Linked DNA regions of Saccharomyces cerevisiae S288C. The protein of the gene in region 2 purifies or fractionates together with the protein of the main gene of each other region. This does not show direct contact. Each region holds a gene or a part of one and is shown on either strand. Other genes may lie near its edges. The genes, in order: QNS1, PUF3, SGN1 and PSP2.

Region 1 (8,270 bases), on a different chromosome or scaffold from region 2:
TCTCCTGTAGGTGATCTAATAGAATCCTTTAGTTTTTGGTATATCAGATCGTCTCTGTCTTTTGGTTGGAAAGCTACCGCGGTTTTATAGGTGAACGGGCCTGATTGGCTACCTGAACTATACGCATCACCATGACTGTTGTTCGATTGATACCCACTCTTGGCACTTGAGTAAAAAGTCCTCTTGGAAAAGCTGATGATTTGACTGCAGGATCCTATGATATGAGAAAAGTTAGTCTCTGAGTCGATTAGCATTTGTCCCGCAAATTTAGCAATTAGCACACCAATGAATAAAACAATAAACATACCATAAAGGGGACCTCTCGAGACCCTCAAAGTTCTAAATCCAACGTTTGCAAACATTTTTGGTGGCTTTGTCGTTTGTTTTCTGGACCGCTTTTATTGCATGTGTCTTTTACATTTGTTTACTGTCAAAATGAAGCTCGCGTGTAAATTTGTAGATTGATTACAGAAAGATGTAGCTGAAACCAGCCAAGAAAGAACAATTAGCACATCTCATTTTATAGAGCCTCAGTTTCTGTCGTACGACTGTTGCAAAATATGTAGGTGGAAGTGGATTTTTAAATTACGTTTAAAACGTAGATTGCGAGTCACTGAATGGCAGCAAGCTTATTAAAATGATTAATTTCTAATTTTATTGTGATATAGGCAACTTTGGATAGAGGAAACAATGAGCCGTAAGAGTGCTAGTTACTGTTTTCGCACCGCCGCAATCGTATAGGTGCGTTAATGGCAGTTTAAAAGCTAATACTGCTTACATGAATGTCAACGGCGCCAGCATGGTCAAATAACCGGCAATATGTCCTGCTTCAAAGTTAAATAGTTTGAAGTATTTAGTGCAAAAGTGCCATCTTCTTTCTGGGGAAAGTTTTAAAGATAACATCGTTATTGGTGTAATTTTGAACAACTGCATGATCATGAGTTTACTTGAGAAAGATGGCTTTATTTACTGAAAATCTGCTACTGAATAGAAAGCGCTCTTAAAATCAAAAGGAGAAGAGAACCAAGAAAAAAATTACGCAGATTGTGCCAATTCCAAGATGAGCTGATGCACGATATTTGCAGAAATTTATAAAATGGAAAGATCTGCAAAATATCACGAAGACATCAAAAAATACGATCTTTACACCCAAGGTATTACAGTCTTTGGGTAATGAAATTATCAGATTTGATGGAGGGCTTTTGTGATAATCCTTCTAATTCATAACAAGAACTTTATACGGTACACATGTGGAGAAACAATTTCCTTACTTAGATTTCTTAAAATGAAAGATTTAAAACACATAGAGGAAGCTCAATGGCCGACGCCAACTCAGGATGACAACGGTTTGTTTGTGAATTTGGATGTTTCAAACTCGGATCAAAAAATTCACAACATAATTGAACGGTTGGTCAGGAGAACGAAGAAGTTTTTACAAAGGCTCAAGTATAAGGAATGTCCTGCGCAACGTAATATATACCAGAAGGTCAATCCCAGCCTTGACGTAGTAATATGCCCTTAAACCTCCAGAAAATTCCCCCAATATAAAGTATTGCCGGGAAACAGCATATATACTTACAACAAATAGAATCGTTGGCACCGACATTGAAGTGGACTATGTTCCCCTATGAATTGTTCATAGTAATATTGTAGAAGACCCTATTGTTCTTGTAATTCGGGTAATATATTTGAAATTGTACAATATGCCTATTTAGGGATATCATTAACTGACTGCAGCGGTAATGATCAACTAATGCTCAACAAAGAGTCAAAAATACGGCAACAAACTGGTAGTAACGGTAGGACATTTTCAAATTTTCAATGTCTGACGATTTGAGAAGAAAAATTGCTTTATCCCAGTTTGAGAGAGCCAAGAATGTTCTAGATGCGACATTCCAAGAAGCATACGAGGATGATGAAAACGATGGTGATGCATTAGGTTCCCTGCCATCATTTAATGGACAATCAAATAGGAACAGAAAATATACGGGCAAAACCGGTAGTACTACTGATAGAATTTCAAGTAAGGAAAAGAGTAGTTTACCCACTTGGAGTGATTTTTTTGATAATAAGGAGTTGGTAAGTCTTCCTGATAGAGATCTGGACGTAAATACATACTATACATTACCTACTTCATTGTTATCAAATACCACTTCAATTCCCATCTTTATTTTCCACCATGGGGCGGGCTCCTCAGGTTTATCATTTGCAAACTTGGCCAAGGAATTAAATACTAAACTAGAAGGAAGATGCGGATGCTTTGCATTTGATGCTAGGGGGCATGCAGAAACAAAGTTTAAGAAGGCTGATGCGCCTATATGCTTTGACAGGGACTCTTTTATCAAAGATTTTGTAAGCCTGCTAAATTATTGGTTTAAGTCTAAAATAAGCCAAGAGCCACTTCAGAAGGTATCTGTTATACTAATTGGTCATTCCCTTGGTGGAAGTATATGTACTTTTGCGTACCCTAAATTATCAACAGAACTACAAAAGAAAATTCTTGGTATTACTATGTTAGATATTGTAGAAGAGGCTGCCATTATGGCCTTAAATAAAGTTGAACATTTTTTGCAGAATACACCCAATGTATTTGAATCAATTAATGACGCTGTCGATTGGCACGTTCAACACGCGTTATCGAGATTGAGGTCAAGCGCCGAAATTGCTATACCAGCTTTATTTGCTCCGCTCAAGTCAGGGAAAGTTGTCAGGATAACAAACCTTAAGACCTTTAGCCCTTTCTGGGACACATGGTTTACCGATCTGTCGCACTCCTTTGTTGGCTTACCTGTTAGTAAATTATTAATATTGGCGGGAAACGAAAATCTCGATAAAGAATTAATTGTGGGGCAAATGCAAGGTAAATATCAGTTGGTAGTTTTCCAAGATTCCGGGCATTTCATTCAAGAAGATTCGCCTATAAAAACAGCAATCACTTTAATTGATTTCTGGAAGCGGAACGATTCTAGGAATGTAGTAATCAAGACTAATTGGGGTCAACACAAAACCGTGCAAAATACATAAGGGTTAAATATCACTTTTATATCTTTATTTATGATAGAATAAATAACAGAATATATGAACTCGTGGAAAAGTCTTATTTTGCTGTGAGCACTTCTTCTGTGCTAATCAATAGACATAATGTCAAGCGTTGAGCCTTTATGTGCTTCACACTGCTCGACAACTTCATCAATTTTTCTTGAAGCCCATGGAAATCTTGGGTTGATTAAGAAAGGACGTAAGTCAAATCTGTTGTCTTCTGGTGAATACTGTTCAGCATGATAACTAGGAGTTAAAACAGTTTGCTTGTGTCTGTTGATGGCATAGAAGAAGAAAAATCTTTTCACCTTTTCAGATATTTGACGAGGTGTTAACTTTGGGGACCATTGATGAAGAAGTTTTAAGAACATAGAATAAGGACCACATTTTTCAACCTTTCTTAGGTAACCAAACACGCCCAATTCTTCATACGTCATCCCCATATCTATCTCATCCGATTGAACGTAATCTTTAGTCATAGGTTCTAATTCTGCAGTTGGTGTAGCGTTTAAAAAGTCATTCAAGATTGGCATGTTATATTGTTTTGATGCGTAGGCAATGAATCTTTTCAAGTCAGTTTTTGAAATACCCCCAATAGGGTTGATATCTGCGGAGGAGCAGTCATATTTTGTTAGATACCCACGTAAGCACTCATCAACATTTGCGCTACCAAGTACTAACAATCCACCCGAGTTTGGGATACCACGAACCCACGGCAACAGTTGCGCAAAAAGATAAGAAAGAACCATTCTTAGACGCGCCTGGATGTTTTGTAAAGCCAAGTTCTCGATTTGAGATCCCCCAAATATTTTGTATATTGGTTTTTTGCCAGTGGCTACTTCGAATAAGGACACCACACTGGATACCAATGAGTCCATCTTTAAATCCACGTGGTAAGATCCAATTGCATTGGAAAGGTCCTTTGCTCTGTTTCTTGTCTCCTTGGATGAATTTTCCGTACCCATGAAACAGGAGTGAAATATTTTTGAGGCTAGATCCTGTGGACTGTCTGGAATCCAATCATCGCCGCTACGTGTTATCTTACGAACGTCTTTGATAACTTGCTCATTTCCATTTTGAGCAGCGTCGGTCACTAAACGGCACATAGAGTGGACAATCATTGCAGTTGCACAAGAGTCAATGCCCCCAGATAAGGGAAGGAAAAACCCTGTTCCGTTACAACGTCTTAAATAATCCCACATCCAGCAAGCAGGTCCCAGTGCAATTTCTTCCTCAGGAGAGTGATAGAAAGGCTCGCGGACTTTTGTTGGACACACTGTAGGATCAAATCTGGAGGTCATTAAAGCCAATTCTACAGGAATATCAATACGCTTGAACTTTATTTCTGCCAAGGAGGCTTGTAGGCCACGAGACATGACAGCTGCACGATAACTCCTCACCTCTTCTAGGTCCACAGTAGCAGTAACTACTTCCACATCATCTAGCGAAAATTGTGAACCTTGGGCTACAATTGTACCATTGATGGCAATTAGTGCACAGCCATCATAATATAATCTGTCACCATCACAACCTCTTTGATTTGCATACAAGTAAACACCACCACAACGTTTAGTGGCATTTAAAATTAGGTCTAACCTTTTATTTAACTTACGCAGTTCATGATGAGAACCAGATGAGTTTGTCATGATTTCCACACCATCTAAAGACATGGCGATGTGGGGGGATTGAGGTGTAAACAATTCTTCACAAGTTTCTGTACCAATGCATGTATCCAATGAATTTATCACAGCGTCCCCAAATGGCACAAGTCTCTGGCCGGTAACTTTCTGAATCTCAGGTGGAAGGATAAAGTCCTCCACCACGCCAGGTTTCATCCAAGGTGTGAAAAATCTCATTTCCCTATAGTTACCATCATTAGCTAACCAAATCTTAGGTCTTATGAACAATATCTCACCATCCAAGGATAACAAACGACAATTATAACGAACATTCTTGTGTAGAACGGGCATACCAATGTCAAGTATTAATCCATGGGTTTCTTTATTCTTAATGATTTGAGCATACATTTCCCATGAATGAAGGCAAACGTCATTTTCTAAAAAATGATCTAAACATCCGTAGCCAGTTATTTCCAGTTCTGGGCCGACACGTAACCTGGCACCCCTCTCTTTGGCAATCTTAATGGACTGTAGGATACGGTCTCTATTACCTTCAAAATCTAGGGCCCATTGATTCAAGTTGCATGTAGCTAAAGTGATAAGATGTGACATTACTGGCAGGGAGTCAAAAAAAGAATGCCAGGGTATTTGGGGGTATTTTTACAAGCAATATCAATTGATGATGTGAGCATATAGTCTATTTTGAGGTAACCAGTTGATAATCTTATATTTCCCTTCCATATTCCTCTTTATCTTTTTCGACGAAACTATTGGGGCCTCTTGATATGACTTAGCAGGACATATAAAGGATAAGATGTTCCAAGCTATGTTATCTTTGACAAGTTTTGATAGCAATAGACTTTCAATTCCAAATTTAGGCACCTTTTGTAAGATCCTGTGTTCGTAAACTTTTCTTCAAAAAACATGGATCTAACTGACTGAAAGAGTTCATTATCTTTCAATTATGTGATGAAATTCTATTGTTTTTTTCAAGTTTTGCAACTAATCATAAAATAGAATGTTTTTACAGTCAAGCAAACAAAAATAGTGTAGAACTGTTAATATAAAATTAGTGTGAAAGATTGATCAAGAATTTATAAAGTCCTTCATGTTGTATATAGTATACTATACATGAACGCATATACAAGTAATTTGTGTGGATGATCATTAAAGATGGAAAATAAATAGAGTACAAAGGGGGGAAAAAAGTTCACTTGATGTCATCAAGGCATTCACCAGAGTTGAGAAATATCAGACCAATCATGCTTCTTTCTTCTTTCCCAATAACTCTTCGGTCCAGTTATGTATTTCCATTCATTCTTAGATACTTTTTCGAAATATTTAGGCTCCACATCTTGCCCTTTATTACGTCTTTCACGTTGAAGTTGTTCCAATTTCAGCTTCCACTCTTCCGCCTTATCAACATTTCCCTCCTCGTAAGCTCTAATATCTGGTCTTAATCTTGAGTCCGTAGGTGGTAAATTGCCCTTTTCAATTTCAGTTATCTCATTCAAATTTGCGGTGAATTTAGTAAAGCCATATTTCTTCTTCGGATTGCTAACTAAATCACCTACTTCCCATATAGTTTCATGTGTAGTTTCATTAGCTAAACTCTGTGTCCATTTACCAGCTAGAGTTTCCTTCTTGCGATTGCTCGAAGGTGGTGGGATTATCGAAACCTTAAATCCTTCAGATCTTCCACTAAACATACCTGCCTTATCGAACAGGATGTGTGATTTGTCTCCCTTCGAAGAATGTACTTCGAATTCGTTGACAGGCTCCATATATCTCTCACCCGCTATCAAATTTTTTAAAATAGTTGTTGGTTGCGTCCATTCAAATAGTTCTCCAGTTGTCTTAAACTTCAATCTCAGTATACCTTCGTTATTCAATTCAATAGACTTACCCCAAAACTTTTGCGATGGCGTTACAGTGTAACTACACTCCCAGTCGAGATGCTCTGCAAAGAAGGCAAATACTGGAGGACGATGTGAGACCTTTTCCGATATAAGCCTAAACCCCATATCTTCTCGTATAAGTTCAAATGTTTCAGCCAGTAAAGGATTAAAAGGCTTTCTTAGCGTTCTTGTTTTATCCCTATATATGGAAAGAAAGGAAATAGCAAATGCAGAAACAAAGGTTATAGGATCAGGACGTTGGGTAGCCTTCGTTAAAAGTGGAGCATACTCAAATGTTTCTGATATCAACTGCAAAATAGAAATAGGCTCATTTGAGGTTACTGGCATGGCAATAGAGCTCAGATCTTTGCCTACATTCTTTCTCAAAAAAGATAATAGGCTTGGCGGAGAAGCTGCAGCTTCAGGTATGTCATTACGGCGTGTAACACTCTTTGGATAGGAAAGAGCAAACAAATCCTTACTTGTAAATGTTTCTGTTGAGGATTGGGCGCTTTTGGTTTTTTGATGATGAGGGTGGCCACGGCGACGATTTTTGTGACGATTTTTGAGGTGTTTACGGCTATGATTTTCATCGTTAGTTGTATAGCTCTCCACACTTGATGAAGCTATCTGTTCGGATCCCGACAATTGGACCTCTTTTGTGAACTCATTTTGGTCACTTTTACCAAGAAGGGGAGTTTCCTCGACTATATTATTAATATCATCTTCTGTGTCAGGTAATATAATGACTCCCCGACTGATTTCCTCTTCTGCATCAAAAAATTCATCATTCTCGCTAAGATATGAAGTTAAAGAAACTCTCGTGTCTTTTGCTTTCTTGCACAGGATCTGGTGGTCCTTGAATAAAACCTCTCCCTGTGTAACGAACCGGCTAACAAATACTTCAAGATCTGCCAATTGGTTATATAAAGCATGCTCAATATATGTTTTGTTGGAAGGAACCTCTTCAGAGGCTAAAGAATCAGATGACGTCATACCAGAAGAAGAATGATTGAATGAAGACACTCTATTATTGGTAAAGACGGAAGATGACGAATGTGTTCCATTTAGCCCCTCCGATCTTTGATGTAAAGTAGTTGGTTTATAAGATAACGAGTCTTTTTTACACTGCTCCAGTCGTTGTTGAATCAAACGTAGATTCATGGAGAAAGTAGCGTAAGATTCGCTGGGCAATGGGACATATATGTCATCCATGTCTTTCTGAGTATGCTGTCTATGTGATAGTGCACTTTTGGTCGTAGCCGTGGGCGTGAGGTGGTCGTGGTCTTGAGGTGAGCTTTTATTAATTACTTCCTTGTCATCGTCAAGAATGTCGGGATTTTCTTCCAAAGTGGACGTGTCCTTATCTTCGAACTGATCGTCAAAACAAGTTTGTAACGCATCGACCCACGACTGCCAATTTTCCTTAGTTGTAGCCTTCAAGACCCAAACTTCCATACCAGAATCAATTATGATTATTTTGTCCTTCTTATTGGCACTAACAGATGACAAGCTTATGACAATTTCACCCCTACAAGTTTGATTATGGTCGTTTAAATAGTACGATAGGGTTCCATATCGAAAGTCCAAGGTGAAAAACCTTTTCTTAAAACCTTGTAGTCTCTTTCTCCTTTTTTTCAGCAGGTAGCCTTGCAAGTAACGACCTTGTCCTACTCTAAATAACATATCCTGTTGAGTAGATGTTCTGCTTAAA
Region 2 (8,950 bases):
TTTTCGAATCGTTTTTTAGAGAGATAACTGGTTTTGTCATGGCATGGACATTTGGATACGCCCTAATCGGATGAACATATAAGAACTACTTCTATAAACGGTTAGAAACAGGCTTGATTTATTATGTACAGTAAATATAATGTTATTTGTGTTTTTTTTTTTTAAATTTTTTTAGTTCCTTCTATGTAAAAAGACATGACAACAGTATTCTCAGTCAAATGATTTCAAATACACAATGTTAAATTCTCTATCTGTTGCAGAAATAAGAAGAGCGTAAGAGCGCAAAGATTTTTGCAGAAAAATAGAGATGAGGTACAAAAAGTAGGTAATGGAAAAAAGCAAATAATGAATATAGGGGAACATAAATGTTATGGACAAGAGTAGATATCAAAATAAAACAAAATAAAATAGAGTAAGTGAAAGACAAATGGAGGAAAAAAAAAAAAAAAAAAAAAAAAAAAAAATAGTAAAAAGTGAAAGGAGAACGATGATAACACTAATCACACCTCCGCATTTTCAACCAATGCTGCAAGTTTCTCAACACTGGCTAAATGTCTATTTCCTAGGGAGTTAGATTTGTTTAGTTTATCCAAATATGCTCTAATGGCAATGACGATCAATTTCTTACCCTCACCCTCAGAGACATTAACTAATTTTTGAATCACATAGTTGGCAAATTGATCCTTGATCATTAAAATCATTGGAGAATCGTCTTCCAGATTCAAAGCATGATTTTTGTCTCTTGGTAAAATCTTAGAAATTATTAAATCCTTCTGATTTTTAGAGCCATAAAGAATAGATTTTTCGACCACGTTGGAGGCAAATTTATGTTTAGAGTATTCGACAACATTATTGGCCACAGTTTCTATGATTTCCTGTTTGATATCGACCATTTCCTTATTGGTGAACTGATCTTGTTGCAAAACATATTGAATGACATAGTTACCATATTGGTCTTGAATTAGATATGGTATGAAATCTTTCAATTCGTTTAAAATGCTTTCCTGATCTTCGCTCGAACCAAATTCTAACAATCTTTGAATGACCCTACAGCCGTAGGAGTGGGTAGATAGATGGTAAATGTGGCCAGTTAAAGAACTTAAGATAAAAGGTAATTTTTCGATAGGAATTGTTTCGATGGCCTTTTGAATTACGTGATTACCGTTCTGATCTTTGATCATTTGCAAAACGGAGTCAGATAATTCCAGGACTAACTCAATTCTTTGATTGGAATCAATATATTCTAACGCCTTTTGAATTACACGACATGCGTACATTTGTAGAGATAACTGTTTCATGTTACCTTTAAATTGATCAACCAAAGTATTTTTTTGAATTTTGCTACCAAATTCAAAAAACTTCTGAATGACGTAATTACCAAATACATCGTTCGAAAGCTCAATGGCGTCATCGCGAATTTCATTGAATATGACCTCCTTTTCTGAGGCTGGTGAGGTGGCCAACTCGCGCTGAATGAACCGTGAACCATGTTGATCTTTGCAAAACTCTAAGGAATGGCCAAAGATGTCTTTTAGTGACATGTTCGAGTTTGAATTTTTGTCAGAACTACTGTTTCTTAGTTGCTCTAACAACGGCGATCGATGATACGTTTGCTGCTGTTGCTGTAGACTTTGAGAATGAGGATGAGAATGAGAGTGAGATTTATGGTTGTTGGCCGTTGACTCATTAGATTTGGAAGAAGCATTCTTTTTAGAGGTATTCTTTGTGGGTATAGAATTTTCTAGATAAGGATTTGCCTGTTTGTTGGCGTTGTTGGAGTTATTTGCAGGATGATTCTTGTTATTTCTTTTCTTGAAGGTTTTTTCGTCCTTGGGCATTTTGACAGGTATAGGATTTGGAGTAGGGTAGTAAATATAAGGATTCTCCTGTTGCTGTTGCTGTTGTTGGTCTTCTTGTTGTTGTTGTTGTTGCTGTTGCTGTTGTTGCTGGGGAGCAGAGAGTGGTGGAGGTGGCATAAACATCATTGGGTTGGGGTAGGCAAACGGGAACGGAGAATTGTTTGGAGGGGACGAAGGTGAAGAAACAGAAGAAGGTCTGTTTGCCTTCTTCTTTTTCTTACCATTTGAGTCTTCGGTGTCTTCATTTGCTGGAATCTGTACTGAAATCATCTGGGAGATGAAATTTGAAGGAGATCCGATCAAGTAGTTGGGGAAGTTTTGGTAATGAGGGCCCTGATGAAACTGATTGGGTGGGAAGCCGTTCATGTAGGGGGGGAAATTGTTATTTGCAGGCCCATCTTGTTGGTTAGGAAGCGCGACATTTGTGGCCCCAACAGCGGCTGGATTGTTACTAGGTCTAAATACTGGTGTGTTGGCTACGTTCCAGATATTTCTCTTGGGGTAATGAGCATTTTCGGACTCTAAAGACGCAGATGAGCCTGAATTTGAACTGGAGTGGTAAAGCGAACCACTGTTAGTAGTGTTCCTATTCAATTTGTTGAAGTTTTTGTCAGACTCGACATTTTGCTCGAAAGTATTCTGTGTGTCTAAGCTGGCGTTAGAGACGCTTTTTGATATGAATTGGGACTGAGTATTGACAGCGTCGGGTCTATCTTGAGATTCCAGTTCCCTTGTACCGTCAATCAAAGATTTTCCGAACTTCTCAAAAAACCCTTCCCCACCAGAGTTGTTGTTGTCATTGCCATTGTAGTAAACGGGACCAGCAATGGAAGCTGAATACTGGCCCAGAAGATGGTTGACCTTGTTGTTTTTCCCGAGATTAGCCGCAGTATGATGAGTATGATAGTTATTGTACGATGCGGATGACAGGGAGGCAGTGTCGGTTGATCTGTACTGGTAATAATTGCCGCCGTTACCAAAAAACTTTTTCGAGTTCGTGGAGAATGGCGGAGCAGTACCAACTGATAGGGCGGTTTTCTTGAAGATCGGTGAAGATTCACTGGAACCGTGAAGCAGCAAGATCTCTGAATCTACTTCATTTGCCGTGGTGAAACTCGACCTTCTGAAGCCGCCAATTTGCTGTGATCCAGCAGCACCGCCGTTCACAATGCCGGCCGCGGCGGCCTGACCGCCGTTGTTGTTACTATGGGACAGGGCGCTTAAAGAAGAAACTATGGATGCGAGTTCCATATCCATATCCATATCCATGTTCATTTCCATTTATACCCGCAATATTGCGTTATTCAGAAGAAATTTAAATGCGTAGTTCTTGTTTGTTTTCTTGTTTGCTTGCGTACTTCTATGCTTATAGATATATCAGTAGCAAGGAAGTTTCCTTTTCACCGCCTTTCAATGTTCCTATCTTTTTCTTATGTTTCTCTTTAGAGACCAGATGACCAGAAAAAAATTAGCTAAGCAGTGTTATACTATTTACAGTAGATATTCAAATATGTGCAGGCACCACTTATTTTTCTTTTTCCTTCTTTTCTTTGTTTTTTTTTTTCTCCTATTCATCAAGCTTCATACATCCAATATACATTCTCAAGTGTGCTAATGGTACATTTGGGAAATTATCTTCCTCTCTCCACAATTTTTAGAAGGAAAAAAGAAATGCAGTTCAGGGTAACAGAGTGCGCAATTACCGTAGATAGCGATCGGATGTTTATCTTTAGCCCTCTTTTTCTAGCTCAAACCCCGGCACGAATTTTTTAGGTCTTGCTGCTCTGCCCTCGGGCACTTTTCTTCGAGAAGTTCTGGGGCGGTCTGATCGGGAAAAAACGTTCCCTTTTCGGACGTATCGCAGGCAATGTGCAAAAGCTTATTATATACGAGAAAAGAAACGCGAAGGAACGAAAGAAGATGAAAAAAATGCAGCGATAAAATGATATTGTGGTTAATCTAAATTTATATATATATATATATATACATATATATATAGAAATCTATTGTTATACACAAAAATACTTATTTTTTAATATAGATGGCTGCAGATAAAGTAATAGTTTTATATATAGGTATATTTACTGCACAATTCACACGATGGGTGTTTCTGCGGTGTTGAAAAGAGCTAGGAATTTACTAGCAACGTTCATAGTCTGCTGTTTTATGGCAGTAGTGCTTGTTCTGGCGCTGGCACACCATTTTATAAATGAGCACAGAGACACTAGGAGTTCATCGACCCAAATCGAAGTTGATGACGAAAGTAAAAGAAACGTACACCATGACCATGTTCTCACTAGAACCAATGCATACGCGACGCCATACCTCGATCTGGAACATGACAAGAAAAACGGTATCGTCTACGATCATACAAGAACGGTTGTCCGTAAAAAGAACCACGAAGTGGGGTCCTCGTCACTGCATAAAAACCTTTTTCACAAATTTTTGACAAAGCTTATTTTTAGGTTTATCGAGAAGGAAAAAGTTACCGAAGGCGTAACGCAAGGAAAGTTCAATAATAGTAGCAATGAAATTGCCAATCATGAACCGGTTTTTGAAAAAATTCCTGTACAGTGCGACAATCCATTACAGAATCTAATCTTATCGGAAGACTTGACATTAGTTGCGGATCTTAATTATTATTTTAACCAGTACAATATTCAAATAGAGGAATTTAGATTGGAGACCGAAGATGGGTTTGTTATAGATTTGTGGCACTTGATACCAAAATATAGAACGACAGATTCTGACAAGAAGAAGAGGCCACCCATTTTGATGCTACATGGCCTTTTGCAAAGCAGTGGTTCGTTCGCATCCAATGGTAGAAAATCTCTGGCATATTTTCTGTATCAATCCGGTTACGACATATGGTTAGGGAATAACAGATGCGGGTTTAGGCCGGAATGGAACGAAGCGAAAGTACCGACACTAGCTTCCAGGTGGGACTGGGACCTTCGCGAGATGGTTAAGTACGATCTGACCCTTTTGATTGATACCGTGTTAGCTAAGACGCAGTTTGAAAAGCTTACTTTGATCTCGCATTCTCAGGGCACTACACAGGGGTTTATGGGCTTGGTCAACGAAGATAAGTTTTTCCCTCCCGGTTCGGGATCTAAAGAATCTTTTTTCACTTCTAAGATCGCAAACTATATTGCCTTGGCCCCCGCAGTGTATCCTGGTCCCTTACTTAACGAGAAATTGTTTGTTAAGCTTATGACAAAGGAAATCGAAAATCCCTGGTTCTTTGGTGAAACGAGCTTTTTTGAGATAATGATGATTGTAAGAAACTTGTGCGTTGGTGAGAGCTTGTTCTCCTTTGTTTGTTACACCATCTTCAATTACCTGTTTGATTGGAACGATACCCTTTGGGATACCGCATTAAGAGATCGCCATTTCCTGTTTTCGCCAGTCCATGTTTCAGTGAAGTTGATGCAATGGTGGCTGTCACCCGACCCCAACAAGGTAAGTTTTAAATTTGGTTCCCATAAGATGTTCCCCGACAATGTTAAGTGGTTTTCAGACGCATCAAAGGCCCCAAATATCTACTTGTTTGTTCCAAAGCAAGATAGATTGGTGGACGGAGAAAGACTAATCAATCATTTCGTCAATGTGGAGTCGAATGTCAACTACAAGATCTGGTACATTGATGAGTATGCCCATATTGATGTCCTATGGGCACATGATGTCATAGAGAGAATTGGTAAACCAATTTTACAGAATTTGAACAACTATTACTCCAAGAAGCCATCCAGCGCCTTTGAAAGTGATTGTTCGGACACAGAGGTGGAAACGGAGCTGGAAATGGTTGCTGAGAAGGCTTGAAGAGGAAGCATGATATATAGGTTAATATAAATTATACTTGGGAATACATAGATAGAGGGCTAGTAAATTTTTAGTTTTTAATTGTTCTTTTTTTTTGAAGTATTGTGTCACAAATTGTCGGGAGTTGGGACATCACCGTGCATAACGATACATTTTTTTGAAAAATTTGATATTGAAAAAAAATCGATGAGTTTGAATTACATTACAGTTGTATAAAGCAACCGCATTTCATTAACGTAGTTTGACTCGCGAAGATAAGGCGTTAAAATGAAGATTAAGACCATTAAAAGAAGTGCTGATGACTATGTCCCTGTTAAAAGTACGCAGGAATCTCAAATGCCCAGGAATTTGAACCCTGAATTGCATCCTTTTGAAAGGGCACGTGAATATACTAAAGCTTTGAATGCCACCAAATTGGAAAGAATGTTTGCTAAACCCTTTGTGGGTCAGTTAGGATACGGTCATAGAGATGGTGTTTATGCTATTGCCAAAAATTATGGTAGTCTGAATAAATTGGCTACTGGTTCTGCAGATGGTGTGATTAAATACTGGAACATGTCTACTAGAGAAGAATTTGTTTCCTTTAAGGCGCATTATGGACTCGTTACTGGTCTTTGTGTGACACAGCCTCGTTTTCATGACAAGAAGCCAGATTTGAAGAGCCAAAATTTTATGTTATCTTGCAGTGATGACAAAACTGTCAAGCTATGGTCAATAAATGTTGATGATTACTCCAATAAAAACTCCAGTGATAACGACTCCGTTACTAACGAGGAAGGTTTGATTCGTACTTTTGACGGTGAATCTGCATTTCAAGGTATCGATTCGCACAGAGAAAACTCCACGTTTGCCACAGGTGGGGCCAAGATCCATCTTTGGGACGTTAACAGATTGAAGCCAGTTTCCGATCTATCATGGGGAGCAGACAACATTACTAGTTTAAAATTCAATCAAAATGAAACAGATATCTTGGCCAGTACTGGTAGTGATAATTCTATTGTTCTTTACGACTTGAGAACCAACTCCCCCACACAAAAGATTGTTCAAACAATGAGGACGAATGCTATTTGCTGGAATCCAATGGAGGCCTTCAACTTTGTAACTGCCAATGAAGATCATAACGCCTACTATTATGATATGAGGAATTTATCACGTTCATTGAATGTATTCAAAGATCACGTCAGCGCAGTAATGGATGTTGACTTTTCTCCTACGGGGGATGAGATTGTTACTGGTTCGTACGATAAGAGTATCAGAATATATAAGACGAATCACGGACATTCGAGAGAAATTTATCATACGAAGAGAATGCAGCATGTTTTCCAGGTTAAATATTCCATGGATTCTAAATATATTATCAGTGGATCTGATGATGGGAATGTTAGGCTATGGAGAAGTAAAGCTTGGGAGAGGTCTAATGTCAAAACTACTCGTGAAAAGAATAAATTAGAATATGACGAAAAATTAAAAGAAAGATTTAGACATATGCCGGAGATCAAAAGAATCAGTAGACATAGACACGTGCCACAAGTCATCAAAAAGGCTCAGGAAATTAAGAACATTGAGTTGAGTTCTATTAAGAGAAGAGAAGCTAATGAAAGGCGTACTAGAAAGGATATGCCATACATTTCCGAAAGGAAGAAACAAATCGTTGGTACCGTGCACAAATATGAAGATTCAGGAAGAGATAGGAAAAGAAGAAAGGAAGATGACAAACGTGATACTCAAGAAAAGTAGTTATTCTGTTTTATGTTGTCTGTATATACACATATGTACAATATTTGCATTTTTTTAATTTTTAATTCACATGTATTTGATAAATGTTCACGCCAGTCCCGTTAAATTAAAATTACCATTTTATTAGATTATGAATTTATATATGAATACATTGTGTCGTAATGGTAGAAGAAGTTGAAAAAAAAAATGTCAAGGGACAGCATGGGTACAGTGTGTTGAGCCAAAAAAAAAAAGAAAAAAAAAGAAAAAACTTTTTGTTCTCTGGTTCTTTTCTTCATCTTCTTCATCTTCATTCTTTGGTAGCGGGGGCCACAAGAAATTCGGGCGAAAGTGCTCATTATATTGTTACATCCAAAATTTTGCCCACATCCAGTGAGGTTTTCACAGAAAGGTCTTCTAAAAGAGGAATAATATCTAATAATTCGTTATCATGAGTATCTGAGAACCAGGACGAAATCGGTATTGCATGTTGGGGATGAAAAATATAAGATGCCGGAGAGTTATCGAGAATGATGATATCTGATAACGGCCTTCCAATCTGGGATAAGTTTTTTATATAGTTTCCTTCATAGTTATAGCAAGCCTCTCTGAATAATCTGTGATGAATGACTTTATCTGTGTCTAATATATCAAGCAAAGGATCACCGTATCGAGAGACACTAGCCGTGAAGACTACAACCTCGAATAATTTTCCGACTCTTTCCAAAAATTCTTCCACACCAGGTCTTTTAATGACATAGACATTGTGTACTTGGTCATCTATTTCCACAGACAAAACAAAATCCGCAGATCGTAAGTATTTGAAAGAAGAGTGTACCAAGGTTTCATCCAGGTCCAGTATTAGGCATTTCTTGCCCTTTGTACTTTCATCTTGTGGGGGGAGCAGAGTGTTGTAACCTGGTGCATGATACTGGCCCTGCTGCAAAAGCGTTAGATCAATATATTCTTCATCTTCATCGTCTTCGTCGTCGGCATCGTTGGAAGTTTCACTGGCTTGAGAGCTGCTACTTACCCTACTCAAATTCATATCTTGGATAAGATGGTCAGACGATACTTGTACAGTAGGCCCTCGCTGCTGCGACTGCGACTGCGACTGTGACTGTGACTGTGACTGGGGTTGTGGTTGTGGTTGTGACTGTTGTTGTTGTTGCTGCTGTTGTTTTTTCTGCCTGGAAGTATCTTTCACAGCATCTCCTTTTTCCTGTACAATGCCACGACTGCGACGGTTATCTTCATCGTCGATCTCTTCATCTTCGTCAACCTCGTATTTTTCCTCGTAAAGATCATCTTTACTAATTCGCTTCTCTACTTTTGTCATATTATTAGTAGTAGTGGCGGTGACGGCTGCAGTCGGCGACGATGGCTTCTTTTTTTCATTATCGTTCGTGCTTATCCCAGATTTACCGGTGGATCGTTCAGTGGAACTGAAAGTAGCGGCTGAATTTGTCTTAGAAGGAGGAGAGTTTGTCTGATGTACGCCACGGGTTCGGCTTTTCGTGTTGGAATGTTTAACGCTTCTGTTTTTATTGAGA
Region 3 (7,184 bases), on a different chromosome or scaffold from region 2:
TAGTTACTATCACTTGAAAGATCTGTGTCAGGGTAGGACTTGATTGTTACGCTAGGAGTTTTACTTAATTGACGCTGCTGAGAACTGGCACCTGGTATGCTGCGCAAACGCTGGAAGGATAAACAGTAGTTGTTGGAAGATATTACAATCGACCGTGATCTTCTACCGATGAAGAGTCTCATTGTAGTGAAATGTGCTTCGAATTCATACGATTAACACAACTTTATCAATATTTGCTGACTTAATCCTAGAATGAAATAGAAAGGCTATTTGATTTGTGTAGATATTTGTTCCAACTTTCCGGTTTACAAATGTTTAACAAAGGGATTCGTTTAGCAATTAGGCAATGCTAAACAAGAAGGAAAACAGGAAACCCTGAAGGAGATAAAACGACGTCAAGAATAGAAGATAAAAAAAAAGGGACATTAACAGGTTATATTGAAACTCAATTCCTGCCTAACCTTCTAAATTGAGAATTTAGAAACGGTATCGCTTATTCTGAATTCCTAAAACACCCATCCCTTTTAAGTAAAATAATAATACGTGGACTACGTAGATGTGGACACTCAATTTACTTACTATTCTCTATGGTCATATTGACAATAAACAAAAATACAAGAAAAAAAAAACTACAGGAAAGATTTGTCATAAATTGTACACTACCACTTGAAAACGACCTTTGGCATATTTATGGCAGATAAATTAATGGACAAAAATTTTGAAGAACTGTGCTATTCATGCCGCACTGGTGATATGGACAATGTTGATAGATTGATTTCCACGGGAGTAAATGTGAATAGTGTTGACAAGTTTGACAATTCGCCACTTTTTCTGGCTAGCCTTTGCGGGCATGAAGCAGTCGTGAAACTTCTTCTACAGAGAGGAGCCGTCTGTGATAGAGACAGATATGAAGGAGCTCGATGTATTTATGGAGCATTGACCGATACTATCAGAGATACCCTTTTAAGTTATGATATATCCAAGGCTGTAGATGTCAAGCAACCCTTTGCTACTCATATCTCATCGATGTATAATGACGAAGGCTTCCTTAAAAGAGATATCACATTCAGAGTTTCGAATGGAAAACTGTTCACAGCGCATAAGTTCTTATTATGTGCAAGGAGCGAAATTCTAGCAGAAAAAATGGTGAATGAGTGGGCAAAGCATGAAATTGTTTCTCTTGAAGTGCGCCCAGATATATTTGACATATTTTTGAAATTTCTTTACTTAATTCCGATCCTGCACCAAATTGAACCGGGACAATATGAAGAACTTATAGAGCTATCTAGTAAATTTGATATTGAGTTATTGCCCGAATTTTTAGACAAAGCAAGGCATACCGCCGATCCTACGGAAAAGTCGAGGTTAATGTCAGATTACCAATATAAGTTTACCGAGGTTGCAAGAAGTCAACTTTTAATATTTGTGAACAATTGTATCTTTAGATCTACTGTTGATCTTGCTAATAGTGAACGACGAGTTTTTTCCTTGATGAACTGTCCAGCTTATCCGGATGTTCAACTTATGGTAAAAAACCGAAATGGAGCCATTCGAATATACCCTTGTCACCTGGCTGTTTTGAGCCGCGCAGAATATTTCAAGGTGATGTTCACAAACAACTTCAAGGAGAAAGTTACATATATCAAAGCCAAGCACGTTACAGGAAAGTATAATAGTATCATTCCACAGCTGACATTACCCAATTGTGAGTTTGAGGTTGCCGAAATTATTCTCCGCTACTTATATGCAGATAATACAGACATTCCTTGGATGTATGCCGTCGATGTTTTGTTACTTGCCGATATACTTTTAGAAGACCGCTTAAAAACTATCGCTTCTACAATTATAACACAATCAAAAGAGTTTATTCAGCAATACAATGTTTTTGACGTACTCTATTTATCATGGGAAATAGGAGTGGAACGCTTAGAACAATTTGCAGCTAAATTTATAGCTATACATTTGCAAGAGTTATATAAAGATCCAGAGATTAAAAGGGCAATTATGTTGAGTTCACAACGAATTTCTCTCCGCCAGGAAACTGATACTATTGAACTAGTGGATGACATTAGGTACTATTTGCTCCGAAAATATTCTTTTGAACCGGATGATGTGGAGCTGTTCGAAAACCAAGACGATTTAGAATACCTAAAACAAGTAGGGTATTTGGAGTACAGAAAAGATATGGGTATGTTAGATAATATCCTAGCTGATCTGGAACTTGATGTATAATTCCGCATTCAATAACCTTATGTATTTTTACGCGTCACTGCGAACGGATGAATATTGCCAATGACTGCTGCGCACTCTTAAAAAATATAATGACAATTATAATAAGAAGTATGATACTTTTTCTGTAAAAAATATATATACATATGATTCACGTGAAAATTTTTATATTTTTAATTAAATTTTTATAATATTATAAATTATTATAATATTGATATTTAAAATTAAAAACAAATTATTAATGGTTTTGTTTTCCGAAATGTTTTTTATAATTATTACTTCAGAATAGTTATTTTCACGAATACGAGATACAGGGTAATGAAAACAGGTGTTATCCAAAAAAAAAAATTGATATATTTTAGATACTTTACATACAGAGGCAAGCTTCAGCTGTAGCCAGGTACATAATATTCCCTATAAAGTGATCAATATTTTTTAACGAAAAATTAAAAAAAAAAATCCTTGAATAAAGGAATGAAAATATTGTAACAAGCGATGACATTTCTTTTTTTGATTGTAGTTGTGGCATTTTATATTTGCTTTTGCATTTACCCTATTCTTGAAGGTTTGGATAGACAAGCGAGATAACACCAGTTGTCCTTCAACTTATTCAAAGCAGCAGCTCACTTAATTATTATTAAGTATACACATGAAAGCCTTGTGTTTATTTCGAATCTTTTTCTTGGGTAGAACTTTTAACGTTGTCAGACGGCATGACAACAGGTTTTTGGGAAGTAGATCTAATATTTTTTGTAGAGTCTTTGGCACTGTTGAAGTGTTTTTTTTGGAAGGTTCTATTCTTGTTATTGTAAGGACTCCTATAATAATTGTTCTTATTATATCCGAAATTTTGATTTGGAGACTGATTTGGAGGGTACGGTGGGTAATAAGGGAAGGTATCGGGATTGGGGTAGGCCATTAAGGGATAATTCCATTGCCATTGTTGGAAATACTGGTTTTGCGAGTTGTAATGCCTATTAAATCCTGGAATGTTAGTTCTTTTTCTGGAGACAGCAATTTTTTTGCCTTTAAGTTCTCCTCCATTTAATTGCAGGGCTTTTTCTCTGTATGCCGGACTTTCAAATTCAATATAGCCGTAGCCTTTTGGTGTTCCCGTATTCCTATCATAAAGAAGTGTTATTCTTTTTATCTGGCCACAGTCTTTGAAATGATCTTCTATTTGCTCTGGGGTGACATCCGGAGTGATGTTACCGACAAAGATAGAACGCGAGTCAGCTTCAAGTTGATGAGCGTGTTTTTCCTCCTTGCTTAGCTTTTGCGACACCTGTGGAGTGCCCTCGATAGATAGTTTACCCACAAGTTCATCCAGCTCGAGCTCTTGCTTGTCGTTCTTTTTATTGTTCGAAATTTCAGTCTTTAAGGTTGCCTTAGCATCCACTTTCTCTTCCTGGGACATAACAGCAATTGCAAATGATGACACTATGTGACAGCAGATATATGTTTATGTTAATAGGCCTGGTTGGAGAGCGAAAGTTGAGATTACTTACTTAATCAAAATTAAATTTGAAATTTGCTGCATTTTAAGGTTACTTTTCGGAGTGTAGGAAATTGTTGCGGTTTTTTTTCACCTAACGAATGATTGATAATCTTTTTCATATCCTCCAAGAAACAAGCTGTTTATTATGGTGATTGCCACAAATTGAAGCGCTATGCTTAGTGCTTCATGACAGAAAGGTTTTGCATTGGTAGGCGTGGAAGATTACAGATTGTACTCGTCGTTGGCTCAATTTTTATATTTTGTTGCTTCAAAAACAGTGCCGTATCCTTAATGAATGAAAAATTCTAAAGAAAATAAGTTGATACTAAAAATATAATGTCCTTGAAGTATTTATGCGATATATAGAAAAATCTATAAATACTTAAATATTACAGCAGCGTTATTTTTGTATAGACGCCGACGTATAAGAGTCTCCTATCAAAAATCAGAATCTGAGCCCAGTATGTCATCTAATTCTGCGTTCGATAAGGTAAAAGATTGGGATGAATCATGGTTGACACTGTTGTTATCGACTTGACTTTTATCGTTAACTTTTACAAATTTTTTTTCGTCTCGTAACATGCCTCTCGCCAAACATTTAGTATAGTTCATATCAATTGTCCTCTTCTTATTATCATTACTCTCGTCGTTAAATAACGTAATGATTTTTGAAACTTTGTGACAATGCGGAACTTTTACCCCTTTGGTGTATTGTACAAAATTGGGCTCCACATCGAAGGAAACACCTTCTGGGATATAGCGGTTTCTGAAAAAATTCCAATCGTCCAAACTCAATACCATGTTATTCTTGTCAACAGTACAGCTCTTTTCTTTTTCAAGGTTGTGTTGATTTCCTCGGATGTCTTTCACATTTTTCTCGATTTTAGTTGGAAGACCACAATCATTCACAAATAAAGCCATATTAGGGCGTTCAAAATTATGAAGTGGCTTGAGTGTGGTAAGACTTTCGCCAGTGCGAATAATGGCAGTTTCCAAATCTTTTTGGCATCCATTCTGCCCTTCCGCAATGAAAACATTATTATCATCACTGACTTCTTCATCTTCAGTTTCTAATGAGGAGGAAGCTTCCTCGGTTGAATCATTCTCCAGATTATCCAAAGCTTTAAAAATCTTCCGCTTCTTACTTGGGTTTTCATTACTCGTTACTAGTTGTTTCCCGCCACTTTCATTCACCAAGAACTTATTAATTAAAGTGCTTGCACTAACAATACTGGTCTCAACATTATCAGGCATAAAGAACTTCTTCGGTTTTTTATTTTCCTGAACTCTCTTCTTCTTTGTTATGGCTTTTTTTGGCTTCACCTTTTTGCCCATCATACACTGAGTCGCATAACGAATAACTTCGTCAACATCTTCCATTTCATTAATTATTTCGTTTTCATCATTAATCGTGATCAATGTCTCGTGACATTCCGGAATAATGTCTTCAGGGATTATCCGATCTGATTTTTTATAGTCAATGCATTGCTTGGATATAAGCGCTTGCAGGGTTGAATAGTCTTCCATAGCACGCTCGAATTTGTATGATTCATTACTGCTAAACAGTAGTACTATCTTACCATCTCGTTTTCTGCCTGTTCTACCCATACGCTGAATATTTTTGATTGGACTACTTGTAGTATCATAACAGATTATTAAATCAACTTCTCCGATATCCAAACCTTCTTCTCCAATTGATGTACAAACGAGAACATTATATTCACCCTTTTTGAAATTATGGATAACCTCTTTTTGCATTTTTTGGTTCATTCCGCTAATCTGAGCCTCTTCAGAGCTCCCCGTTCGTCTGGCACTTCTTTCAAGTTTATCATTCGCCGCTCTCTTAGTTCGTTCAGCTTCCAAAAATTTCTCTTGCTCTTGCCTATGCAATCTCTCTACCTTCTTCCTTCCCTTTGGCGCATGTTTTCTTGTGTATTTGACCTCATCAAAACCTTCTTTTGCACGAGCTTGTCCAATAAAAATATGAGGCCTGATTTGATCGTCAGCTACCGAGTCTATGAACTTCACAATTTCAAGTGCGCTTTCTCTTAATTCTGTAAAAATAATAACCCTCGAGTCGGAACCCCTTTTCTGAAAAAAGTCCATTAGTTCATCTCTAACACATTGTAACTTCCCATGACCGACAAACTTTGGATCACTTAAATAATTTTCGCATTGATTTTTGATGTTTTTCAAAATCGGATGGTAATAAAACTCAGCTGCAATTTTATTAGTAGATTTTTTAAGATTATATTTCGTAGTGAATTCTGTACATTTATTCTGGAAGTAATTGAAAAATGTCCTTATTCCATAAATTTTTAATCTCTTTAGCATTTGACCCACATTGTTCAATAACTGTAAAATAAAGAAGTTCCTCCACTTAATTCCTTCAGGTATAGTAGGGTTAGCAATAATTTTTTGGCTTTGTTGCATGGCTTTGAAGGCGTTTATTTGTGAAGGGTCACATTCCTCATATATACCGAGTTCAATTGCCTGTTGAAGCACTGGTTTGACGGCCATACCTAATTGTTCGATTATGTCTTCAATTTCCAACAAAAGGGGCACTTCAATTTTTTCCTTTTTTCTTTTCTTCATATATTTCACGATATCCATGCTTTCTTCAGTCCTAATTTCAATCTTGGAAATATCTAAGTTATTAACCACTTCTTGGACACCTTCCAGGTCAGAGGCTGGTGTAGCGGTCAATGCTAATAATCTGTATGATGAATTGAACCTATCTATGAATTTTACCACATTTGTATACGCAGAGGAGCCAGTAGCTCTGTGAGCTTCATCGATGACAAGACATACAATATCCTTAGGATCCAATACACCCCTCTTCAAGTCATTCTCCACTACTTGCGGTGTGGCAAAGAAAACTCTCTTATTGGCCCAAATTTCTTCTCTATTTTTCCTGCTTTTATCGAGTAATATAGCAGTTTGATCCGAAGGTATTCCTGTTATACCTAAGCATGCCTTAATTTGCTGGGCTACCAAAGGTCTTGTTGGAGCAGTAAAGATTATTTTGGCTTTTTTGGTCCAACGAAAATAATTTAACATTACTGTACTGGCAATGAACGTTTTACCCATACCCGTTGGGATGGCGCATAACGTATTTTGAAACAGTGATTTGTGAACAATTGTATACTGATAATCCCTTACCTCGTAATTTGTAGGGTACACGTAGAACGACAAAGCATCGTAATCAAGCTCATGATGAGTGGGTCCAAAACTGACATCTCTTTGAATTTCTTCGTACACAGTTTTCTGCCCAGGTAAAACGTTATCATGAAGGTCTTTTTGAACTGGTACAGCACGTCTCGTTATAGTTTCCTTCACAGATTTATTGATAGCCTTTTCATACAGTTTATCCAGCTCGTCATCTTCGAAATCACTAAAGTAATCATCTGCACTAGCCATCAGAGAGAAAAAAGGACACTAAAATAAAACAGAACCG
Region 4 (8,128 bases), on a different chromosome or scaffold from region 2:
TCTTGGTAACCAACTTGGATAAAGATCAAACTAATCGGTTTGAAGTTTTCCATAGAACATCCCTAAACAAAACCCAGGTCAAAAAACTGGCTAGCACAGTAGCTAATCAAACTATAAGTGAAAATATTCGTGTTTTTCTGCAAGCGGTGGGAAAAATATACGCTGGTGAGATAATCGAATTGGCCATGATTGTGAAGAATAAGTGGTTGACAAGTCAAATGTGCATAGAGTTTGATAAGAGGACCAAAATAGGCTATAAATTGAAAAAATATCTAAAAAAATTGACTTTCTCCATCATAGAAAACCAGCAATACAAGCAAGATTATCAATCCGATAGCGTTCCCGAAGACGAACCTGATTTCTACTTCGACGATGAAGAAGTAGACAAGCGCGAAACTACGCTGGGCAACTCGTTGCTACAGTCCAAATCCTTACAGCAATCAGACCATAATTCACAGGACTTGAAGCTACAACTCATCGAGCAGTACAATAAGCTCGTCCTCCAATTCAACAAACTAGATGTAAGCATCGAGAAATATAACAACAGTCCCTTATTGCCCGAACACATCCGTGAGGCGTGGAGACTCTACCGTCTGCAGTCGGACACTTTGCCTAACGCTTACTGGAGAACTCAAGGAGAAGGGCAGGGATCCATGTTCAGATAGCTGCCCATAATTGTCCAACGGCTCCAACATATATCAATCTATATATAAACATATATATAATTTTTAACATGTCGTTTGAAATGACATGTCTATTTTTAAAAGGATAGCATATAAATTAATGAAAAAAAAAAAAAGAAAACGATTACTGCAGATCTTCTAATTCTGTTAATCAGCTTTCTCTTGTGAACCATTGGCAGGTGGGTAACATAAAAGCACAATACAATAGCTTCCATTATTAGTTTTGTTTGTTTTGGCAATACATGTTAAATCTTTTTCTTTCAAGTTAAATATAAAGATTATATATAAAAGTACTTCTTTGGAATACATTTGATTATACTTTTCTTTATCGTTTTATTTTTATTTCATCGTTATAGTCGCTTCTTTTCCCCTAGAGGCTTTGTCATAAAACAACAAATCAACCACTCTCTGCTTATCTTTCCTTCCTTTTCAAAATGGGTAATTCAAGTTCAAAATCTTCGAAAAAGGATTCACATTCGAATTCCTCCTCGAGAAATCCTCGTCCTCAAGTGTCGAGAACCGAGACTTCCCATTCTGTGAAGTCTGCAAAATCAAATAAATCTTCAAGATCAAGGCGATCTCTTCCTTCTTCGTCCACTACGAATACTAATTCAAACGTCCCTGATCCCTCCACTCCATCAAAGCCCAATCTTGAGGTTAATCACCAACGACATAGCTCTCACACGAATCGTTACCATTTCCCATCTAGCTCACACTCGCATTCAAATTCTCAAAACGAATTGTTAACTACTCCTTCATCATCCTCTACTAAGAGGCCTTCTACTTCTAGAAGATCAAGTTATAATACTAAGGCTGCTGCTGATTTACCACCTTCAATGATCCAAATGGAACCCAAGTCACCCATTTTAAAAACAAACAATAGTAGCACACACGTATCCAAGCATAAATCTTCATACTCATCTACCTATTATGAGAACGCCTTAACCGATGATGACAATGATGATAAAGACAACGACATCTCGCACACTAAAAGGTTTTCTAGATCTTCGAATTCTCGTCCGTCCAGTATAAGAAGCGGATCAGTGTCAAGAAGGAAATCAGATGTGACCCATGAAGAGCCTAACAATGGATCATACTCCTCTAACAATCAGGAGAATTATCTCGTTCAGGCATTAACCCGGTCAAATTCTCATGCATCTTCGCTACACAGTAGGAAATCTTCGTTTGGATCAGATGGTAATACCGCATACAGCACCCCATTAAACTCTCCAGGCTTGTCCAAGCTAACAGATCACTCTGGTGAATACTTTACCTCTAATTCAACCTCCTCATTGAATCACCATTCAAGTCGCGATATTTACCCGAGCAAACACATCAGCAATGATGATGACATTGAAAATTCATCTCAATTGAGTAATATCCATGCATCAATGGAAAATGTTAATGATAAAAATAATAATATAACAGATAGCAAAAAAGATCCGAATGAGGAATTTAATGATATAATGCAATCTTCCGGAAACAAAAACGCTCCAAAAAAATTCAAAAAGCCTATCGATATTGATGAAACTATCCAAAAATTACTGGATGCGGGCTACGCTGCTAAGAGAACAAAAAATGTTTGTTTGAAGAACAATGAAATTTTACAGATTTGCATCAAGGCTCGTGAAATCTTTCTTTCTCAACCTTCCTTATTAGAATTATCACCTCCTGTAAAAATTGTAGGCGACGTTCATGGCCAATATGGGGATCTCTTAAGGCTTTTTACCAAATGTGGGTTCCCACCATCCTCGAACTATTTATTCCTAGGTGATTATGTGGACCGTGGTAAACAGTCACTGGAGACTATTTTACTATTGTTTTGTTACAAAATAAAATACCCTGAAAATTTCTTTTTATTGAGAGGCAACCATGAATGTGCTAACGTCACAAGGGTTTATGGATTTTATGATGAATGTAAACGTCGTTGTAACATCAAGATCTGGAAGACATTCATCGATACTTTTAATACATTACCATTAGCTGCTATCGTAGCCGGAAAGATTTTTTGTGTTCATGGTGGATTGTCGCCAGTTTTAAATTCTATGGATGAAATCAGACATGTAGTTAGGCCTACTGATGTACCAGATTTTGGCTTAATTAATGATCTTTTGTGGTCCGATCCCACAGATTCACCCAACGAATGGGAGGATAACGAACGTGGTGTAAGTTACTGTTATAATAAGGTGGCAATTAACAAATTCTTGAACAAGTTTGGGTTTGATTTGGTTTGTAGAGCTCACATGGTTGTGGAAGACGGTTATGAATTTTTCAATGATAGAAGTCTCGTTACGGTGTTTTCCGCGCCAAATTATTGTGGTGAATTTGATAATTGGGGGGCTGTAATGAGCGTCAGCGAAGGTTTATTGTGCTCTTTTGAATTGTTAGATCCACTAGATAGTGCAGCTTTGAAGCAAGTTATGAAGAAAGGTAGACAGGAAAGAAAACTGGCTAATCAACAACAGCAAATGATGGAAACAAGCATCACAAATGATAACGAATCTCAACAGTAAATTTACTGACTAAAAAATCCAGAAGTATTATATTCATTATTTCATGAACAACTCAACGATGTACATATGCACATATATATATATATATATATATATATATATATGAAAGACAGGAAATAGAAGTTCCCTATCTTTTTCTTAATGACATTAAAAAACTTCCTTTCATCGCCTACTGCCTTCGCGTGTGTATTGAATGCTCATTCGCTCTATACAATCTAGAACTCTCCGAAATTTCGTTCTACTTTGCTTTCGCTATATTAAGCTGTTTATATAAATTACGTAATGGTATATAGTCATATAGCTAAATTCAATGGTTCGTTTCTATAGATTGGTTCTCCTTAATTTTAATTTTTTATTGCGTATAACGTGAGAGATTATTTTCAACCCCCCCAATACTTACGAAACTTCATAAAACTTCTTTAAGAAATAAGGGCCTATAAAAATTGTGAACTAATCAAGAGAAAATATATAATCAAAATTGATTAATCAGAAAGACGAATTTTTTTTAAAAAAAAAATTCAAAACAACTGAAGGGGAAATGGACAAAAAGCAGCATAAGTAGTAAAAAGTGGAAACAAAATAAGGTCAAAAAAATCTGAGAGGAAAAGGAACGCTATATTACATTACTCAGAACTGCGTAACCGACTAGAACAAAAAAAGGAAATAGAGGAAAAAAAAAAAAAAAAAAAAAAAAGAGAAAAGAAAATTAATGGGTCAGTACATGACTCATAAAGGCATGTCTGTTGTTCTGTTATTGTAGTTGGAGTAGTTACCGCTGCTTCCACGTCCACCACGACTACCTCGATTGTTATATGCGCCTCTGCCAAATCCCCTTCCTCTGCCAAATCCTCTTCCTCTCGAACCTCCATTCATACCGCTGCTGTTATAGTTACCGCGTCCATTGTTCCTTATAGAATCATTATTACCTTGGCCAAGGAACCCACTTGCTGGTTTGAAAATGGAATATTGTTGTGTATTGGATGTTGAGTTCGTGAAATCATTCTTTTTATTTCCTGAGGCATCTAAAGATGAATCCGAGGTTAACCCTTCTTCATTGTTTTGTCGATCATGATATCTTGAACCGTTATTATTATTACTACTACTATTATTATTATTATTATTATTATCATTAGTGTTGTTGTTGTTGTTGTTGTATGAGCTGCCACCACGATATCCGCCGCGATTACCACGATTGTTATGCCCACCTTTATAACTGCTGCCATTGGGGCCTCCACGATATCTATTACTCCCTCTAAAATTGCCATTATTGTTATTATGGTTTCCGTTATATTTGGTTCTGCTCATACTATGTTCCCTTTCCACATTCTTGAAAGTGAACTGTTTATCAACATCGGTTTCTGAACCTTTATCTTTATCATTTGAGACATCTAATTGAGCTTTATCGTCGCCACCTTTCTCAAAGCCTTGTTCATCGCCACCTTTGAACTCGTCCGATTTATCGGGCTTAGATTGTAGTTCAAGAGCTGGTGAGTCAAGCTTGCTTAATGGAGTTCCTTTCTTGGAAGTTTCATTGACCACAGATCTCTCAACTACTTCAGAGTAACTTAAAGGTTTGGGAGTTGGGGTTGCAGAATGTGATTCCTCCTCTGTAGGTGTCTGCTTTTTCAAGATTGTGATCTTGCTGCCTGTTGCAGTGGTTGCCATAGAATCACTACTAGGGATTAATGATGCCCTCAGGGTTGTTGTATCTTCCACGTGTAAATTTTCCATTTTTTCTTCAATGTCCAAAATCTTCGATTGCGTATCAACCGGTTTAGCACTTCCAAAAGGATTGGATTTTGACCGCTGAGTCTTAGTAATGAATGGTTTGCCAGCATCGTCTTTAGGGTCTGTTAATAATTTCACCTTCGTGCTGTAATCCTTAAAATCTTCGAATTCTGCGGGCGCTGTTGTAATGTGGTAAATTTCCTTCAAAGGAGTGGTCCAATAGTTCAAAATTTTGTCCATATCACGGGATGTATATAACTCGACAAATGCTACCTTCGAGTCACGTTTGAAATTTTGATCAAAGATTGACCCCGATTTCAAAGTAGAAATACTTGGATTTTTATTTATCTCCCAAAACAGTTTGAACTTAATAAACTTGGTAAACTTTGCTTGAAAAAGATCTTCAATGTCAAAGTTGGAAAATCTCGGTGGTAAATCAGAAAACTTCACAATATAAGGAGGACCTTGCTGATGCTGCAGCGGGTGGTGATGATTTGCAAAGTCCCCCATGCTACCACCACCAAAAGGCCCTGCATTAGAAAAACGTGATCTGTTCATGGGTCCATGACCACCGTGTGGGTGCTGTTGGTGACCATCACGTTGATGTTCGCCTGCCTTGGTTTGTTTCAAGATGTCAATATTCGTAGTATTGCTTATAGCATCCAAATTAATATCTTCCTCATCCCATACTGACTCGCCTAAAGTGTCGTTCCCTAGAAATTCTTCTAGGGACATTTTCTTCGTAGTGCCATTATTATTAGATGTATTATTTGTTCCTGAATAGAAACATATGTAGACAATTCCGTGACTTTCTCTTCTTTGCGGAAAACCAAGCTGATTAGAGAAAGCAAAAACATTGCAAGACCATGTCTAATCAGCTTGATTTTTAGAGAAACGATAAAAAAGAAGAAAAGAGGCCAAGAGAGAGCATTGTTCAATTGTTAGTGGCTATTTAAACTTGATCTATTTTCTTAAAAATCCACATGAATATTATATCCTCTTTCATGCAATAATTCCTACGTATGACTGAAACAGAAGAAAATAGTAAACATAAAATACTAAAACAAAAAAAAAAAAGGAAACAAAAGAGGACCGTTATGGATCAAAAGGGGTTAATGAGAAAAACCGAGGCACATACCCATTTCTTCCCGTTCCAGCACTCTATGTGATTAAGATCGAGTGAGCAAACGTGTTTTTCTAGGATGATTTCTTGACCAATTCTTTGTGGAGATAAGCTTTAAAGTCTGAAGAACGTATCTCTGTAGTTCTTCTGTCTCATTTAAAATAACCCAAAATTTCCGAAATTTCAGTGCAGCTCAACCCTAAATTAGACCTAATTGAAATCAGTAGGGTTAGCTCGTATTTGAAATATTACAAAACAAGTCCTATAAAACTCTAATCTTAACCCTTATGTTAGATTTTCAGCACGTGATTTTGCATCTTTTTTAGTTTTGCTTAAAAAATTTTGACCTCTACCTTTTCTCTCTCTGTTTAATCAGGTAATAAAAAGTTCAGCCAAAAAGTGTGGTTGTGAAATTTTATTCTGGCGATGCGCAATCGGAGTCTTTTCTATTTCTTGCAACTCGCAGAAGAAAAGGTATTTTACTACATAAATTGTATATATTCCTTCTCAGGATCAGCAACATAAGATATTGGCTTTGATATTATATTGCATCTTATTGCATTGTGTGTTGTGGTTAAGACAAATAAATAAAGGAAGTTTCTTCTTTTTTTTCCTTCCTTTTTTTCCTCTCTCAGATAAAAGTTCAACAGAGCCATGGTGTCGAAGGATCAAACGTCCTTTAATAAGAGGTGGACCTTGGGTCTTCTGATGTTGGGTCTAGTCATTATTTTGTGGGTTTTATCGTCCTTCCTGATAAATTTGATCTTCGAGGATGACTCGTATAGAAAACCATTCTTTATCACGTACACCAATACTGCCGCCTTTATCTTTTATCTTTTTCCAACTGCAAAGGCCGTTGTGGTGAATTACAAGGACACAGGCCGTGCAAACGTTCACCGCGAACTAATTATGGAGGAAGAAGGTACTGGTAGTGATAGCAATCGCTCGGTTGATATGACTAGCCCACTGCTTACAAACCTTGAAGCAGGCACGCATGCCAACCAAAAGAAGAGGCTAACGTTATATGAAACAATCAAGTTAAGTGCTGAGTTCTGCATACTTTGGTTCACAGCTAACCTTGTGACCAATGCCTCGCTGGCATTCACATCGGTGGCATCGCAGACAATCCTCTCCACTACTTCTTCCTTTTTCACCTTGTTCATAGGTGCTATTTGTCATGTTGAATCGTTGAGCAAGTCCAAAGTACTCGGGTCGTTCATTTCCTTTGTAGGCATAATCATGGTCACCAAATCAGATTCTCATCAGCGCTACCAACGCCATATCGCGGACGTTAGTGGTGATGATAACGATGCCGTGCAAGTTCTGATAGGCAACTTGTTGGCACTTGCAGGTGCTGTACTTTACGGTGTCTACAGTACTTTATTGAAGAGAGAAGTCGGAGATGAGACTCGTGTTAACATGAAGATTTTTTTTGGCTTTGTTGGTCTCTTTAATTTACTTTTTCTATGGCCATCACTGATTGTATTGGACTTTTTTGGCTGGGAACCATTCTCTCTGCCCAAAGATCCTAAAGTTGTGGTAATAATCTTCGTCAATTGTCTCATCACATTTGTTAGCGACTTTTGTTGGGCAAAGGCTATGTTACTAACGAGTCCTTTAACCGTCACCGTAGGATTGAGCATAACGATACCCCTAGCAATGTTTGGTGATGTAATCTTTAAGCACAAAACCATGTCTGCGCTCTATTTATTTGGTGCTACCCTCATCTTAGGCTCATTTTTCATCATTAACAAAAGCTCTGAGGAGGAACATTTTGAGAACTCAATAACGGCTAGCAATTACGAATCAGTGGAGGTGCCAGCAGCAAACAACTGATCTTAAAAAAAAAAAAAATAGAAATAATAAAAAAAACTATTAGCATCTAAATTTCAAAGTCAGAAGAAATTTTTCCCTATATAGAATGTATATTATAATTTTTCTAATAACAATTTCATTCCTGTGTGATTTAATAATCTTAAACATTTTTTTCAGTATCCAGACTAACAAAACAGAGGCCAAAAGAATTTTCAATAAGAGAAAAAGTATCTCGTTGGCTTCATACAAACCTTATTCTTTGTCAC

What was found.
Region 1: the proteins of PUF3 (region 2) and QNS1 purify together in Saccharomyces cerevisiae (affinity purification with mass spectrometry; 2 studies listed by BioGRID, with this or other methods). This does not show direct contact.
Region 3: the proteins of PUF3 (region 2) and SGN1 purify together in Saccharomyces cerevisiae (affinity purification with mass spectrometry; 2 studies listed by BioGRID, with this or other methods). This does not show direct contact.
Region 4: the proteins of PUF3 (region 2) and PSP2 purify together in Saccharomyces cerevisiae (affinity purification with mass spectrometry; 2 studies listed by BioGRID, with this or other methods). This does not show direct contact.

What each region holds. Positions count from the first base shown.
Region 1 is NC_001140.6:243,193-251,462, reverse strand, and holds QNS1 (glutamine-dependent NAD(+) synthetase), read right to left. Parts: upstream 5,271-8,270; coding exon 3,126-5,270; downstream 1-3,125. Other genes in the region: type 2C protein phosphatase PTC7, read right to left, coding at 1-214, 308-362; PPE1 (phosphoprotein phosphatase methylesterase 1), read left to right, coding at 1,822-3,024; oxysterol-binding protein related protein OSH3, read right to left, coding at 5,891-8,270.
Region 2 is NC_001144.5:121,575-130,524, forward strand, and holds PUF3 (mRNA-binding protein PUF3), read right to left. Parts: upstream 3,141-8,950; coding exon 501-3,140; downstream 1-500. Other genes in the region: EMC6 (Emc6p), read left to right, coding at 1-74; YEH1 (sterol esterase), read left to right, coding at 3,960-5,681; rRNA-processing protein SOF1, read left to right, coding at 5,949-7,418; PSR1 (phosphatase), read right to left, coding at 7,756-8,950. UniProt on the Saccharomyces cerevisiae protein: RNA-binding protein involved in post-transcriptional regulation. Negatively regulates expression of COX17 by binding to the 3'-UTR of COX17 mRNA. Promotes decay of COX17 mRNA by enhancing its rate of deadenylation and subsequent turnover.
Region 3 is NC_001141.2:353,250-360,433, forward strand, and holds SGN1 (Sgn1p), read right to left. Parts: upstream 3,647-7,184; coding exon 2,894-3,646; downstream 1-2,893. Other genes in the region: phosphoinositide 5-phosphatase INP51, read right to left, coding at 1-182; YIL001W (uncharacterized protein), read left to right, coding at 691-2,232; MPH1 (3'-5' DNA helicase), read right to left, coding at 4,166-7,147.
Region 4 is NC_001145.3:234,526-242,653, reverse strand, and holds PSP2 (Psp2p), read right to left. Parts: upstream 6,067-8,128; coding exon 6,063-6,066; intron 5,701-6,062; coding exon 3,923-5,700; downstream 1-3,922. Other genes in the region: TATA-binding protein-associated factor TAF11, read left to right, coding at 1-665; PPZ1 (salt homeostasis regulator), read left to right, coding at 1,118-3,196; YML018C (uncharacterized protein), read left to right, coding at 6,702-7,883. UniProt on the Saccharomyces cerevisiae protein: DNA polymerase alpha mutation suppressor. Suppressor of group II intron splicing defects of a mutation in MRS2. May play a role in mitochondrial mRNA splicing.